Linked DNA regions of Diceros bicornis minor. The protein of the gene in region 2 interacts with the protein of the main gene of each other region in a pairwise test. Links are inferred from orthologs where the notes say so. Each region holds a gene or a part of one and is shown on either strand. Other genes may lie near its edges.

Region 1 (7,180 bases), on a different chromosome or scaffold from region 2:
CTGGTCTCCACTCCCCATCTTGCATTGGAGAAAGGGGCACCTGGGCCTTCAAGTTCCCAGAAAGGGTCCCAGAAATGGGCCAGGAGTTGCTAAAGACACCTCCAGGTGAGAGGCTATTTGGACAGGATGGAGTCAAGCACATCCCATGCTTCTCAGCACTTCCAGGGCTTTGCCTGCCTCAGGGCTCCTCTCATTCATTTTCTCCACTTGGGTCCAAACTGATTAGGACTCAGGTCAGAGCCCAGCATGGCTAAAGCCCCCCCCCCCAGCACCACCAGACTGATGAGGGGTGGCTGACCTGACCGGTCCAGGCTCTAGCTCTGGGAGCTGAGAGAAGGGTTGGGCTGGGGGAGAGCGGCTTCCGATCAGCCACAGCCAAGAGACCTCCTGGCCCTCCAGTCCAGTCCGAGTACACCCTGCCTTGACCACAAACTTGTGTCTCTTGGCCACATGGCACCAGGCATGTGTGTCTGTGTAGATATCTCACCCCCACACACACAAACACCGCAAATATGGGTCTGCACTTAGAGACGCAAACATCCAGCACACTCCAATTCACATGCAACCCAATTGCAACCATTTGTCAACTCCAGCCCATGGACAAGAGAGCGCCGGGGGCTCACAGATAACTTATGGTTGCAATAGTCTCTTCTTTTCCGCTCCTGCTCAGCTCGCAGTTTTGTTAAAGCAAGTTCAGGGAAATTGGGAAGCAAGATTGCTCCAGTCCCAAGGTGGGGAGCCATGGATGATGTGGGGGGAAAGCCCTTCACAACACAGCCAGAACTCCAACTGGCTCCATGTGGTGAGGGGGAACAGAGAAAGGGGTAATTGAGTGGAAGGGGAGAAAAAAAGAGGAAACAAAAATACATACAGGCTTCTCTTCTCCTTACCATCTCTCTCCCTACCCTGGAACTCAGAAAAGTTGCCAAATAAAGCAGAGCCAATTAAAAATAATAGCCATCTTCTGCTAGATTCTTTCTCATCAAATGAAAAGCACTGAACATTTTTTTTTTTTTAAATAATCTGGTTCATCCTACACTAAGTACTGTGCCTTACCAACTTGCAGCGCTATTTCCTGAATGTGATTGCTTGGGATGGGACCCGCAGCCGCATTAAATATGAAAGAGGAAAAAATCTGTTAATAATTGATCCTAGCCAAACCGCTGCCTGGCAATAATGGGCTTTCCAGGCAGAGTTTGGGGGTTTGGGGTGGGGAGTCTGTTTGGGTGTGAGCAGGGAGGGTTTGGAAGAGCCCCTGTTACCCAAACCCAGCTCTTGTGATTCAACCTGGTAGGCTGGAGGTGGTGGGACCCTGCAGGGACCTCTGGGGAGTGGGGCAGCTCTCTAGCCTCCGGCAGGCAAGGACACCCCACAGGGACTGTGGGCCACTCTGTTGGTGGGAAATCTGGCAGGGCAGGCAGAGACTGAAAAATCAGAACCTCACTCCCCCAAAAGAGTAAGAAGTGAGGATTTGTCTCCTCGAGCCAGAGAGTTATTGTTTGGGGCTAAGAGCCCCCAACCAATTTGCCCTTCTCAACCTTAAAAACGAAAAATATGAGACCACTCTCCCAGTGAGCAGCACCTCCTGGAAATTAGCCAGACTTGGGCTCCTGGCGGGGGTGCTTTCGGAGGAGTGGAGGTGATGAGAAACTGTGGTCGGAGGGTAAAGTTCTCCGACTCGCAGCAGCCTCTCTTCTCCCACCCTTCCTCTCCCCAGGGTCCCTTCGGGCGGGATCTCTCCTTTTCCACCCCGGCGGTCGGCCCGAAAGTTCGGAAGCGATTCCCCGACTCCCCGCGAGGCGGACAGCTCTGGCTGGGGCTAAGGAGGCCCGCGGCGAGCAGCGAGGGGCCGCAGAAGGGCAAGCGGCAACCCGGGCGAGGATGCCAGGGAGGGGAGGGGGCGGCCGGAGGGAAGACTCCCGGGGAGGGGCTGGCGCATCCGGGGAGGGGGCTCAGGCACCGGGTCTTGGGCTTCCCCCGCCCCTCCCGGCGCCGGTTGCGGACCCTGAGCGGCTACTGCGCGAGATCTGCTAGGAAGGATCCTCCGCCAAGCTGTTGCATCGCAAATAAAATCCTAATGAGCCCCCTCCCACTTCCCCTTGGCCGGCTTTTACGGTCTGCGCGTGGCGCGGGGAGCTCTGCCAGCCGCGCGGTCCCGGGCAGCCCCGTGCGCTTCCGCCGTTGCCCGCGCAGACTCTCGGCCTCACTGGCAGCCTGCCCCGACCCCGCCAGTCCTCTCCCGGCCGGCCATCGTCAGCCCCTCTCCGGTCTTTCAGCCCTGGCCTCCGGGAGAGCGGGGGAAGGGAGGCCGAGAGAGCAGCGCGTTGGTCCCTGCGCCCCAATTCCCCCCTGGACTGGTAGTGGGGGCGGCGCTCCTCCAGTGGCATCAGTCTCGCCTTCTGAGACACCCAGCGTCCTCCCTTCCTTCCTCCTCTTCCCTCCGCCCCCGCTCGCTCTCCGGCCACCGCCGCGGTTTCCCTTCACATTGTCCGCAGTTTATTGCCTCTCCTCTCCCCTCCCCCTCGCCTGGCCTTCGGCCTGGGTATTTCCTCACTTTTTATAACTTACTTTGATCCGGCCTCTCTTTGTCCTCGCTTCCTTCGCAAATTTTATTGTCCCCGTAGCCGGGTCTTTGATTAGACAGGACGGCCTCCCTGCCCGCCGAAGTTTCCAAACTGTACTCGGGCGTGCCCTGCTTGAGCAGCTCCCCAGGCGCGCCCAGCAGCGGCTCCGCCTTCACCGCCGCCTGGCCCTGCCCCGGAGCAGCTTCGCCGCGCGGCGCCGGCTCCAGCCAGGTGCGGAGGTACCTGCTCTCGGCCGGCGGGACGCCCTGGGGCTGGATGTAGGGGTGGTAGACGGATGGCAGGCTTCCGGACGCGTGCGGGCTCAGCGGCGCCCAGGAGGCGCCGAACACCGGCGCTTTGGGCTGGAAGCTGCACGAGGGGAACTCCAGGTGCTCCGCGTGGCCCGGCTGCCGGGGGCTCGCGTACTGGCCGGAAGGAAACTTGGCTGGAGGCGCGTCCTCACTCTCGTGACTTATGATCGAGTCGACATAATAGCTGCTAAGCGTCCCAGAAATGGACATTCTCAGACATTATCCGGGCGCTCGCAGGGGGAAGGGAAGCGCTCGCGCGGCGGCGCCCAGGCAGGGAGAGGTGGCACCCAGACCCGTGTGAGGGCTTTCGGACGCGACCCCCCCAGCCCCCCACCCTCCCACCCCCACCCCCTGCTCAACTTCTCAGCCAACAAAGTACAGTGGAGCAGCCCGGCTCAGCGCTCCTTGCAAAATGATTGGTCAAAGTTTTTCCGACTGCCTGATAAAGCGTCAGCTCCGACATAAATCAATCGGGCGAGGGGGCTGCGCTCTCGCTGTCATCCGTCCGCACCGCATTCCATATCGAGGATGGATTGTTTTATGCTGATGCAATGTGCTATCACGTCAGGGCTCCGGTGGCCACGTAACCTCAGCCTGAGCTGCCGACCGCCCGGTCCCCCGCCTCTTTTGCAGGAAGGGGGGGGAGCTCTCGACATGGGGCGGCGGGGGCGGAGGAGAGGCGGAGGGAAAGCAGCGGGCTGCCTCAGGAGGGACGCAGGCTGTGGAGCCCTCTCCCCGGGCAGGTCCGGGAGGGAGAAAGGGAGAGCAGGGCAGAGGGAGGGAGAGAGCCCAGTCTGGGGAGAAGCCAGAGAGGCCCACAGCATAATTAAAGAGGAGGTGGTCCTGTCCCCCCACAAACACCTCCGCTCCACCCTGTAGGCCCTGGTTTCCTCTTCTCTGTCCCCTTGACACAAGATGTTTATTAAACAACAGGGCAGCAGCAATCCACTGGAGATGAAGTAAAGGCGATGGGAGAGAAGTGGAGGTTTTATAGGACGTTATCCCTTTGGAGGGGGCTCTCTGTAACTATTTGGGGAGGTTTACAGGCATGAGAGCTTCTCCTGATACCTCAGCAGCTGAGGGAAGAGAGAACAGGATAAAAGGGAGTGAGTGTCCAGGGATCCTATCCTAAAATTTAGCTGTCCCAGAATTGGAGCCTGCATGAGATTAAAGAGATTCAGCAGGCCCTGGAAAGCCGAGCCTCTGAGTTTAGTACGACTAGCCAAAGCTCCTTTAAATTTCTTGGGCCTCTCTCTGGTCCTGGCCAGAGGAAGTATGGGGCGAGGGGCACAGCCATTTCTCCTTTCCTCCATTGAATAACAGGCCAGGCCCTTAAAAGTGCCCAGATGGGGGAGCTGAATGTGGGAAAAGGTTAAGGGAACTTCCCTGAGGTGTCAGCAGAGAGGAGGCCCCGAGTTATCTCCCTTCCACCCAGTGAGGAAGGAGCCGCGTCCGAGATTTCGCCTCTCCTGTCCGGCTCCTATCACCCCGGCATTGCCGTTCAGAAAGATTTCCAAATACCGGTATTGGGCACCAGCGCAGATGGAGAGCCTGCGGGGTCAGTCTCCTGCCCTCCTGCCGCCTCTCCTCCTGCAGACTCTCTCCTTGGAGCTTCCAAATAGCCGGTTTTATTAGTATCTACTATTCGGCCCTGCTGGGACTCTCCCGGGACCACCGGCTGGCTTCCTGGCTCATCTCCCAGCGGCGGCTCCTCCAGCTCCTGTCCTGGGTGCAGCCGCTTTGCGTGTTGTGGGCGCTCACGGAGGCGCGGCCTCTGCACAGACCCGATTCTCCTTGGGTTGGGTTTAGGGGCAGGATGGGGCGCATTTTCTCGGCATTCTCCGACTCTGAACCCTGATAAGACAGGCTGCCCCCAGCCTGGTCCTTTTAACAAAAGCGGGGCCATTCTATTTAGAGGTTTTATCTTTTGGGCCATGTACCCCTCTGCCGTGCAGAAGGCTGCGGATCACCTCCGCACACGCACAGACACACTTCCGCCCGCTTTTCTTCCCAAATGAAGCCATCTCATGTCATTACGTGTGAAATACGAGGGCGATGCGCCATATTTCTTCACATTATGGCGATTTCAAAATGATTTTTTAAAGATCAATGCCGGCGCCCAGCCGGCCCCCTCCTCTTCCATCCCAGCTCTCCGAGGGCGACAGCCTGGCAGATCGGGAACCAAACAGCGTGAAGATCTGCTTTTTCCCTGGGACCCAAGTAGGGAAACAAAAGTCTGATGCAAATTCTTCTAAGTAGCAGTTGGACGCTTGGGAAAATCGAGGGAGCTCCCCGGACTCGCCAGCGAGAAAGCTGGGCGCAGAGCGAATGAATCACAATTAAGGCAAGGCACCTGTTCTCGATTTGCCAGACGCATGGAGTCTGCTGTTGGCTTTACCTATAATAAATATATCGTTCAGGAAAAAAAAACCTCTCCTGCCATAAATAACGGTGTTATGAAGCATGGCGCGCTGAGCATATGACTTTCTGTAGTATATAAATTAGGGCTCAAAAGGACATGGGGACTGTGGGCAGGGACTTTTTTATTTTTATTTATAAAAAAGTCACAGTGCTGGGCTGTTCTTAAGACCCAGGCTGTGCGGGTGCTGGGCTCTGACTGTAGCCCTTCTGGTTCCCACTCCTGGCCCTGGCTTTGCGGCTGCTTCTCTTTGCAACAAGAGAGAAGTCAGGAGGGCCACTTAGTTGAGGGAAGAAGTTAGAGGAGGAAGAACATTTATTTGGGTTCATGGCTTGTGCCCTATAACAGCAGACTCACCCAGCAAACAGGGTTCAGGTTTGTGAGTTGCTATCTGTCTGTCTGAGTTGCCTCTGGTGGCTCCTGGGTGCTGGGTGAGGCGGGGACTCAAGCCTCTTTTCTGAGAGCAGAGCTCAGCCTTTGCTCAGAAGGAAGCTGTAGGGTGGGAACAATTTCAACATGCCAGGTTTTAGAGGTCTCAGTCTTCTCAGAAGAGGTGACTCTGAAGGGAAGAGAATGAACTAGCCCCCTAGCCCTGGAATCTGCACCCCAGCCTATCTCCCTCCAGGTGGGGACGTGGATGCACCAAGCAATGAGTGCCACCACAACTAGGCTTTCTAGAAAGCATTGCTGCCCCCAATTGGAGCTCAACTCCAGCTCAGGCAAATGATTAAAGGGTCGACTGAGAGAGAGAGCCCCTTGTTTGGGTGCTCTGAGGGCCTATGGACCCTCCAAAATCCTTGTTTTCTCTCCTCGACAATGGTACCCACCACAACAGAGAGAGGCAAACAGGATGGCGAACTCTGGAGCCCCGCTTCTAGAGATACTTAATAGAGGGCTTCTTTCAGTGGGGGTCACTTTGTCCTGAGAAAGCAAAACTGCTCCCCACCCCACTCCCAATCCTAAAGAGAAAGAAGGACAAACCCTGCCTTCCCTCGCAGCTTCTTCCTATTCCCTGCACAGGAGCCGAGCCTGAACACAGCTGGGGCGGGGAGCTGGTAGCTCGGGGAAGGGAAAGCAGGGAAGAACTGCAGCCCCTGGCCACACTGGGCCCCAGAGCAGCCAAGAGTGAGGCCGAGGTGGGGAGAGCAGAGGCCGACCCTGGCCAGGACCAGCCGGTGAGTCCCTGTGCTTCAGGGGTGGCTTTTGGAAGGGTCCTGTTAAGAAAAGAAAGAAAATCTAGATGGAGGGAAGGAATGGCTTTCGGAAGGGTCCTGTTAAGAAAAGAAAGAAAATCTAGATGGAGAGAAGGAAATGAAAGAGAGAAGAAAAAAAAGAAAAACAATAAATGGGAAAAGGGAAAAAGTTTGTTTTTAATTGATAAGCTAAGCTGAAATTTACTCATGGTGTATTTGAATAGATGTGTGTATCCTATATGGATATTTCAAATCAATATTTCTTTATGGGGAGCCCAGTGTGCAAATGGGCTGTGCTCTATGCTGTGTATACAATATGTAATAAAAAAATCTGCCCAGCTATAATACTGATGTACTTGGGCGTTCGTATGTAAGATCTTTAATGGTGCATACGTAGACGCGTGTATAACCGCTGTGAGTGATGTGGGTTTACAATTCTGCTCATATAAGAAGATGTATGACCCAAAAGCTTGTGTGTACATTTTTATAACCATCACATACCTATGGAAAGGGCAAAAACTTAAGTATTTGTGTACTTGAATTGTGGCTATAAAACATCAGCTGATTCGGAAGCTTCACTTGAAAATCTGCCTGTTGACTTGATATTCAAGCAAAATATATACCGAAACCTCAAACAAACGCATGTGACTTAAATCTGGATTCTTTTACAATTTCCTTCTAAAATATTTCTCT
Region 2 (7,625 bases):
TTAGATAATTCAAGCTAGAGTGAGCACATCTGGAGAGTCATTCATATCTATATTTTCATGTAATGAGGATCTGAATTTAGAGTGTTTCTCTGGCTCCAGATCAACAAAATTTCACCTCTGCTTACCTAGCAATTTCCCTTCTAGGAATCTACCTAAGGAAACAATCAGAAACCCGGGCCAAAACTTGGGTGGAAAGATGTCCATCAAAGAATTATTTATCATTGGAAAAAACCTAAATCTTCAACAACAGAATGGCAAAATAAATTGCACACAATGGAACTCTAAAGAGCCATTACATTTTTTTAATGTAAATATACGTAATGACACGGGAAACTATACTATAATGTTAATAGTAATAATGCTAACAATTATGTCAGGTGCTGTGCTGAGCACTTTACATATATTACCTCATTTAATCCTCAGAACGACTAACCATGTGAAAGATATCATTATTATTTACTTGTTACAGATGAAGAAATGGTGACTTAACAAGGTTAAGTAACTTGACACAATCACATAGATGGGGTGTGGCTAATTCCAAAGCTGTAGCACCTAAGAAGCCACTACACTATTCTGCAGGATACAATTTATAGATATATATGATACCAATTTGTTGTTACTACACACACACACACACACAGGTGACTTTAAAAATATTTTAAAACGAGTACAGCAAAGCACAGACCAGTCAGAAGGGACACTACAACCACTCAGAATGGAAGCCAGGTGTAAATAACCAAAATGGCCATCTAGTTTCAGTTAACCTTTGCTGTGTAACAAACCACCCCAAAATTGAGCAACTTAAAACAACCATTTTATTGGCTCATGATTCTGTGGATTGATAACATGCGCTGGGATCAACAAGGTGGTTCTTCTGTTAGTCTTTCCTAGAGTCACTTGTGTGTCTGCAATCATCTGACAGCTCAACTAGGATTGGATGGTCCAAGATGACCTCACTTACGCACGTGGCTTTTGGTGCTGGCTGTCAGCTGGACCTTTCTCTTCATGAGGTTTTTCATCCTCAAGGAGACTAGCTCAAGTATCTTCACATGGCAGCAGCAGTGTTCCAAGAGGGCATGAGCAGAAGCTTTACAATCTCTTGACGTCTTGCTTAGAAGTTGTATACCATCACTTCTACTGCATTCTGTTGGTCAAGGCAAGTCACGAAGCCAGTCCAGATTCAAGGAGTGGGGAAATAGACTCTACCTCTTGATGGGAGGAGCTGCAATGAATCTGTGCCATTTTTAATCCACTACACTGTATATACCAACTGAATATCAGCCCTGCATGTATATGTACATAAAAAAAAGACTGGAAGGAAACCAACCTGTTAACAGGGATTATTTTTATCTTTTTATATTCCCGCACTTCTCCAATTTTCTTAATCAGTAAGCATTACTTTCATAAACATAAAAAAAATTTGACATCTTTCATAATAGTTTAATAGGGCAGGTTGGACAGCTTCACTTTGGCACCGAAATCAGCCGAATTCCTTCTCCCCCAGCTCTACCACTTCCCGGCTTTGGCAATTTTGTAACCCCTCTGAGCCTCTGGTTTTCTCAGTCATAAAGACGGAGCTAACATTACCTATTTCACAAGACAGTTGTAAGGATCAAATGCGACAATGAATATAAAGCACCCACACCCACCACGTGCCTTGGCAGAGACATGCCTTGGCGATTTCCCTTCCTCCTCTCCCCCTACTCAGACCTCCTCAGTTATAGGAATTCTCTTTCTCACAAAGATTAAATTCTGTTTAGTAAACTACACACACTCTCTAAAAGTAAACTGTATGCCCTGAGGGCTGGTTTCAAAACTTAGTCCTCCTTTATAACCCCCAAGTACCCAGCACAAGACTCAATAAATATTTGTTGATTTGTTGACTCATTAACCAAATAAAAGTTTTCCAAATGCAAGGCAGTTAATCCCTTTTTATGCAGTTTTAAATCTAAATTCCAGTATCAAGAGGGGGTAATGTTGCTTATCCATTGCATCTATCTATTCATGACAATGGAAAAGCCTAACTTGATTCACTGCCATGAAGAAAACTCAACTTTCTGAGGGTTCTAAGCTTCTACATGTGCACAAACACAATCACAATGAGCTTTCGTCAGCCATATGTTTTTCAGAATAGGCTCTTCCTTGTCATAATGGCAAAGTTGAACATAAGAGCATGAAACTTAAACTGGAAAAACAGGATAAACAGAAAAAAAATTATAATGCATTTTAATGAAACAATCATTATTCTAAAAAACTAAGCAACCCAAATTGAAAATGGTCTTGTTTTTGCTTCAATGAGGCAGCTATCATTAGTCACAGAGGTCTAATTTACTGTTATCAGTAAATTTGTAACAAGCTCTCCTTCCGCCTCCCACAAGTAAGACCAAAGCAGAGGAGGGAAGGGCCTATGAATGGTCATCAGTGTGTCATGGTGTCAGGAAAGACACTACCTGGATTAGGTAGATGAGAATCAATGCTATTTTTAAAGATCTTTGAGAAAGACACTGCTTAAACTCCCACCGGACGGTGACTCACTATGCATGACAGCCCCAGAGGGTGGGAAGGGTAAGAGAGAACCCACTTTTGCTTTCTTTTTTACATACAGGATATTGCTAACAAAGGCAGAGAATCACTTGTTGAATGTTGGGGGAGGGGGGTGGGAGTGGTCATTTGGTGATAGTCCAATCTCTCATTCCACAGAAAGAGAACGCTGCAGGCCCCTTTTATGCTTTCTCTTTGACTCACTCCGGAAACCAGGCAGGACCCTAAGGAAGGTCTGTCTGGAAAGGTGGGTTGTAAAAGAAAACTATATCTGTCAGAGGCTTGAATACTTGTTCCAGTGGGTACAATCCAGGAATAGCTTTACCTAATCCAACTCTTCTCAAACATTTTGCTCCCAGGACATTTAAAAACTATTGAAGAATCCAAAATGCATACCTTCAAAAATTCCAGAAAACATTAGAATACATAAGCACACATTCCTTTAGTCACTAAAGCAATGATGTCATCACACATCCCGTAAATTTATAATTATTTCAAAACAGAAAGTTAAAAAAAAGGGAATAAAAAGAAGCACAGAGGATGGAGCAAGTAGGGATTACAACAGCAGCAACGGAAGCCAGAAGATAGTCAGATATCATCAATATGCTGAAAGAAAATAACTTCCAATCTCAAATTCTGTCAGCAGTAAAATAAATCCTTCAAGAATTTTAAGATGAATTAAAGATATATTTAGACAAGCAAAACAGAAAATTTTACAAAAGCAGACCTTCACTAAAGGAAATTATGGAGAGTGTAACTCAGGCAGAAGGAAAGTGTTTCCACAAGGAAGGTCAGAGATTTAAGAAAGAATAAGAAGGGACAAAAGTAAGAAATAAAACCTTGTGTTAATTCTAAAAATTATAAGTACAGGAGTCCCCCCTTATCTGCGGTTTCACTTTCTGCAGTTTCAGTTACGGTCAACAGCAGTCTGAAAATATTAAATGGAAAATTCCAGAAATAAACAATTCATAAGTTTTAAATTGTGCGCTGTTGCGGGTAGCGTGACGAAATCTTGAGCCTTCCCACTCTGTCCCGCCCAGGATGTGAATTATCCCTTTGTCCAGTGTATCCACGCTATTTATGCTACCGGTACCCACCCCTTAGTTACTTAGCAGCCATCTCAGTTATCACATGACTATCCCGGTATCACAGTGCTCGTGTTCAACTCACCCTTATTTTACTTAATAATGGCCCCAAAGCTCAAGAGAGAGCAGTGATGCTGGCACTTCGGATATGCCCAAGAGAAATTGTTGTTAATTTCTTACTGTGTCTAATTTATAAATTAAACTTTATCATAGTTATGTATGTATAGGAAAAAACATAGTATATACAGGGTTCAGTACTATACCCAGTTCTAGGCATCCACTGTGGGTCCTGGACTGTATCCCTTGCGGATAAGGTGGGACTACTCTACAGGCGGAAAACTTATTGAGGAATCCAAATAACTTACCTTAGGAAATTCTGTAAAACACAAGAGTACACAAGCACGCATTCCTTTAGACATCAGAGCAATGACTTCATGACACAACAGGTCGCCTCTGGAAAATTCCAGCGAGAGTGAAAAAGGCAAAGGACATCTTACTATTATTATGGAAGTACTTTTGACACAGACTCCCTGAAATGATCTTGGGACCCACAGGGCCCCCGGATCACAATTTGAGAATCGCCTCTCTATTCCCTTCATCACCCAAGGCCAGGTCTGAGTTTCCTTTCCTGACGGGTCAAGGAAGAAACAGCAAGGTCACTGGTCGGGGGCCACCAGGGGAATTGCTCTCTCCCTTTCGCAAAGGTTACTGGAGGACACGTAGGCTCCGAGGTCGGGCTTCCGGGAAGGCTCCACGAGGCGCCACTAGAGGGCGCCGCTAGAGAACCCCGCCGCGCACCCCGCCCACCCCACCCGCTGGCCGGGTTCACACGGACGCCCGGAGGAGAGGGCGGCGCCAGGAATGGGGGGAGGCGGGCGCGGCCTCATTGGACGAGGACCGTCCGCCTCACGGCCGGGGGCGGGGCTTCTCCGCGCTAAAAAGCAGAGCCGAGCGGCGGCTCGAACGCGCAGCTCTGGTGGCAGTCAGCTGGAGGTTTTTCGTCGCTCACCGAGGTTCGCCGGGTCATGGTGCCAGCCTGACTGAGAAGAGGACGCTCCCGGGAGACGAATGAGGAACCACCTCCTCCTGCTGTTCAAGTACAGGGGCTTGGTCCGCAAAGGGAAGAAAAGCAAAAGACGAAAATGGCTAAATTCGTGATCCGCCCGGCCACCGCCGCCGACTGCAGTGACATCCTGCGGCTGATCAAGGTAGCCGAGGCCCGGGCTCCTCCCGGGGCGGGGTGGGAGGTGGGCGGCGGCTCCATTTCCGGGAAAGTCCGCGTCTTGCGCAGGTTCCCCTTTCTCCCCCGCCTCCCCAGCCCCAGCCGGGCTGGGCAGGGCCGCGCCGCTCAGCTCCGGCCAGACTCAGGGAATGAATCGCCACCCCGCCCCGCCCCCTCCTTCCCTCTGAGTTATCCGGGCCGGGGCCTCACTTAGTTTTCTGCTTCTCTCCCTGTCTCCTGTGTGCATCGCCCCAGGAACTGGCTAAATATGAATACATGGAAGAGCAAGTAATATTAACTGAAAAAGGTAATGTATCAGTGGGGGGCGAGGGACGAGCGTCCAGTACCTGTCACCTTTACCGAGGCCAACACTGTCTGTCCCTGCTGCCCCTTGCAGATCTGCTAGAGGATGGTTTTGGAGAGCACCCCTTCTACCACTGCCTGGTTGCAGAAGTGCCCAAGGAGCACGGGACTCCGGAAGGTAACCGTCCTCCCGTTTCAGAAGCCAAAGAAACCAAGTGTTGTGTAAATCGTAGTGTCTGCTGTGTAGAGAACCACTTACAACACAGGCCGAAGTTACTAAGAAGTTGGCCAGAAATAATAGCCAACCAGTGTTCAGACTACTGAGGAAAAAAAATAGATGTGCGGCACTTAATAATAGGGCGGGTTAAAAGAGCTGTTTAAGTAAGTATCAGAGTGCTGTGGAGACCCGGAAGAGTTAGGTATAATGTCATTTGTTGTAGTTCAGTTTCATAAATGGTTCTTGTTTGACCCTAACGTAACCTTTTTTGTAATTGTTAAATCACATTTTTTTCTTTAATTTGTCCCAATCTTCAGGTTACAGTCTCTAGCTTCGCCATGTACATGGCCCTTCCGTGTACATGGATGGGCGGGGAGGTAACTAAAAGATCCTTTACACAATAAAGTAGATGATCATGATAAATGAGGTAAGGTCCTATTATCACACACTTAAAACACGGTAGATCAGAAACTCCATTGTACTCGCTTCCTGTCTGTGTTTGCAAAGGACTATAAAATGGCTAGAAAGTTTAATTTGAAACCTTTGCCTCCAGTTGGAATTACAGACACCCATAAGAGGATGTCACATTTTGTTTTGTTTTGCTGGTCCCTGTTGACTGGTCAGAAGATAGCGCTAAAAGGGGAAGTTGTTGGGGTGGGTGCTTAAGTTTTTTTCTGACATCTGTTCCCCAAGCTAGAAGAAATGAGCAGAAAACGTAAGGGGTGAGGTGCTTTTTAGAGGGATGTGGATGTTACATAATACCTGTTTCTGGGTATCTCTGCTTCTTCTGGCTTAAAAACTGGGGAGAGCAAATTGAAAATGTGTGAATTGGAAGGCAAGTTCTGAAATTAAACGTTGCGTTTTTTGGCCTGATGTCCTGACCTTAAGGAAGCAGAGTTTCTAAACTACAAATATTTACTATTCTGAACTGCCGTGTAAACCTGACTTATTCCCAAGTCAACATACCAGTATATCAATAGGATGTGAATAATGTGTGTGTTTAGTTTAAGACCATAGCAGTTTCGCTCTGGCAAATAATGAAAGCATTCTCGCTTCCTGAGTATGAGATCCAGCAGATTGCAGAGTGGCCAGTCCACAATTTAAGCCTGGCTTCAGCTAGCTCTAATGTGTGCTTTTTGCAAATACATGTTTTGAGAACAGTGAGATCATCCAGCAGTGGCCTGGACTGCACTAGCATAAAAGTCAAGAGACAGTCTGGTTCAGTGGCTACTTATTTTTATAATACATGCATGTGTATTTTTTAAAACCTATGATAGGCCTCTGATTTTGCAGCTACAACTTTTATGGATTACTTTTCATTCACATCTCATGTGATACTCTTATTACAGGACACAGCATTGTTGGTTTCGCCATGTACTATTTTACCTATGACCCATGGATTGGCAAACTATTGTATCTTGAGGACTTCTTCGTGATGAGTGATTATAGAGGTATGGTTGAGTTCAGGGGGAAGCTCTAAAGAGAATCAGGTCTTGAAGTCTTTAAGATGATTTTTTAAATGGTACTTCTCTTTCTTTTAGGCTTTGGCATAGGATCAGAAATTCTGAAGAACCTAAGCCAGGTACATTTTGATTTTTGGTTTCTGAATTTGTAAGAGTTATTGGATTATTTTAATGACTGAATCAAAATTGGGTCTTGGAAATGTCACTGAGTTTGTTTTACTCTCCCATATAATAGGTTGCGATGAAATGTCGCTGCAGCAGCATGCACTTCTTGGTAGCAGAATGGAATGAACCATCTATCAACTTCTACAAAAGAAGAGGTGCTTCTGACCTGTCCAGCGAAGAGGGATGGAGACTCTTCAAGATCGACAAGGAGTACTTGCTAAAAATGGCAGCAGAGGAGTGAGGAGTGCTGGTGTAGACGATGACAGCTTCCATTCTATTTTAGAATAAATTCTCAACTTATCTTGCTTTCTATCCTGTTTGTAGTGAAATAATAGAATGAGCACCCATTCCAAAGCTTTATTACCAGTGGCGTTGTTGCATGTTTGAAATGTGGTCAGTCTGAGATGGCAATCTTGTATGCAGTTCGGAGTCAGATTTCTCCTTGAACATCTTTTTGATAAACAACTAGGTGGTGTGATCTTAATGTATATGAAAAAAACTTCATTCTTGTGAGTCATTTAAATGTGTACAATGTACACACTGGTATTTAGAGTTTCTGTTTTGATTCTTTTTTAATAAACTACCCTTTGATTTAATTGCTTGGTGTAAGCATTTTTACTAATTCTTTA

What was found. The genes of interacting proteins can lie anywhere in the genome.
Region 1: the proteins of SAT1 (region 2) and HOXB9 interact in binary tests that used the Homo sapiens proteins (3 or more experiments, as listed by UniProt). The two-hybrid records come from large-scale screens. The link is inferred for Diceros bicornis minor from reciprocal best matches to the Homo sapiens genes SAT1 and HOXB9.

What each region holds. Positions count from the first base shown.
Region 1 is NC_080757.1:37,350,275-37,357,454, reverse strand, and holds the start of HOXB9 (homeobox protein Hox-B9), read right to left. Parts: upstream 3,086-7,180; coding exon 2,569-3,085; intron 1-2,568. UniProt on the Homo sapiens protein: Sequence-specific transcription factor which is part of a developmental regulatory system that provides cells with specific positional identities on the anterior-posterior axis.
Region 2 is NC_080781.1:19,985,718-19,993,342, forward strand, and holds SAT1 (diamine acetyltransferase 1), read left to right. Parts: upstream 1-4,580; 5' UTR 4,581-4,768; coding exon 4,769-4,834; intron 4,835-5,103; coding exon 5,104-5,155; intron 5,156-5,245; coding exon 5,246-5,329; intron 5,330-6,717; coding exon 6,718-6,819; intron 6,820-6,909; coding exon 6,910-6,950; intron 6,951-7,066; coding exon 7,067-7,237; 3' UTR 7,238-7,592; downstream 7,593-7,625. UniProt on the Homo sapiens protein: Enzyme which catalyzes the acetylation of polyamines. Substrate specificity: norspermidine = spermidine >> spermine > N(1)-acetylspermine. This highly regulated enzyme allows a fine attenuation of the intracellular concentration of polyamines.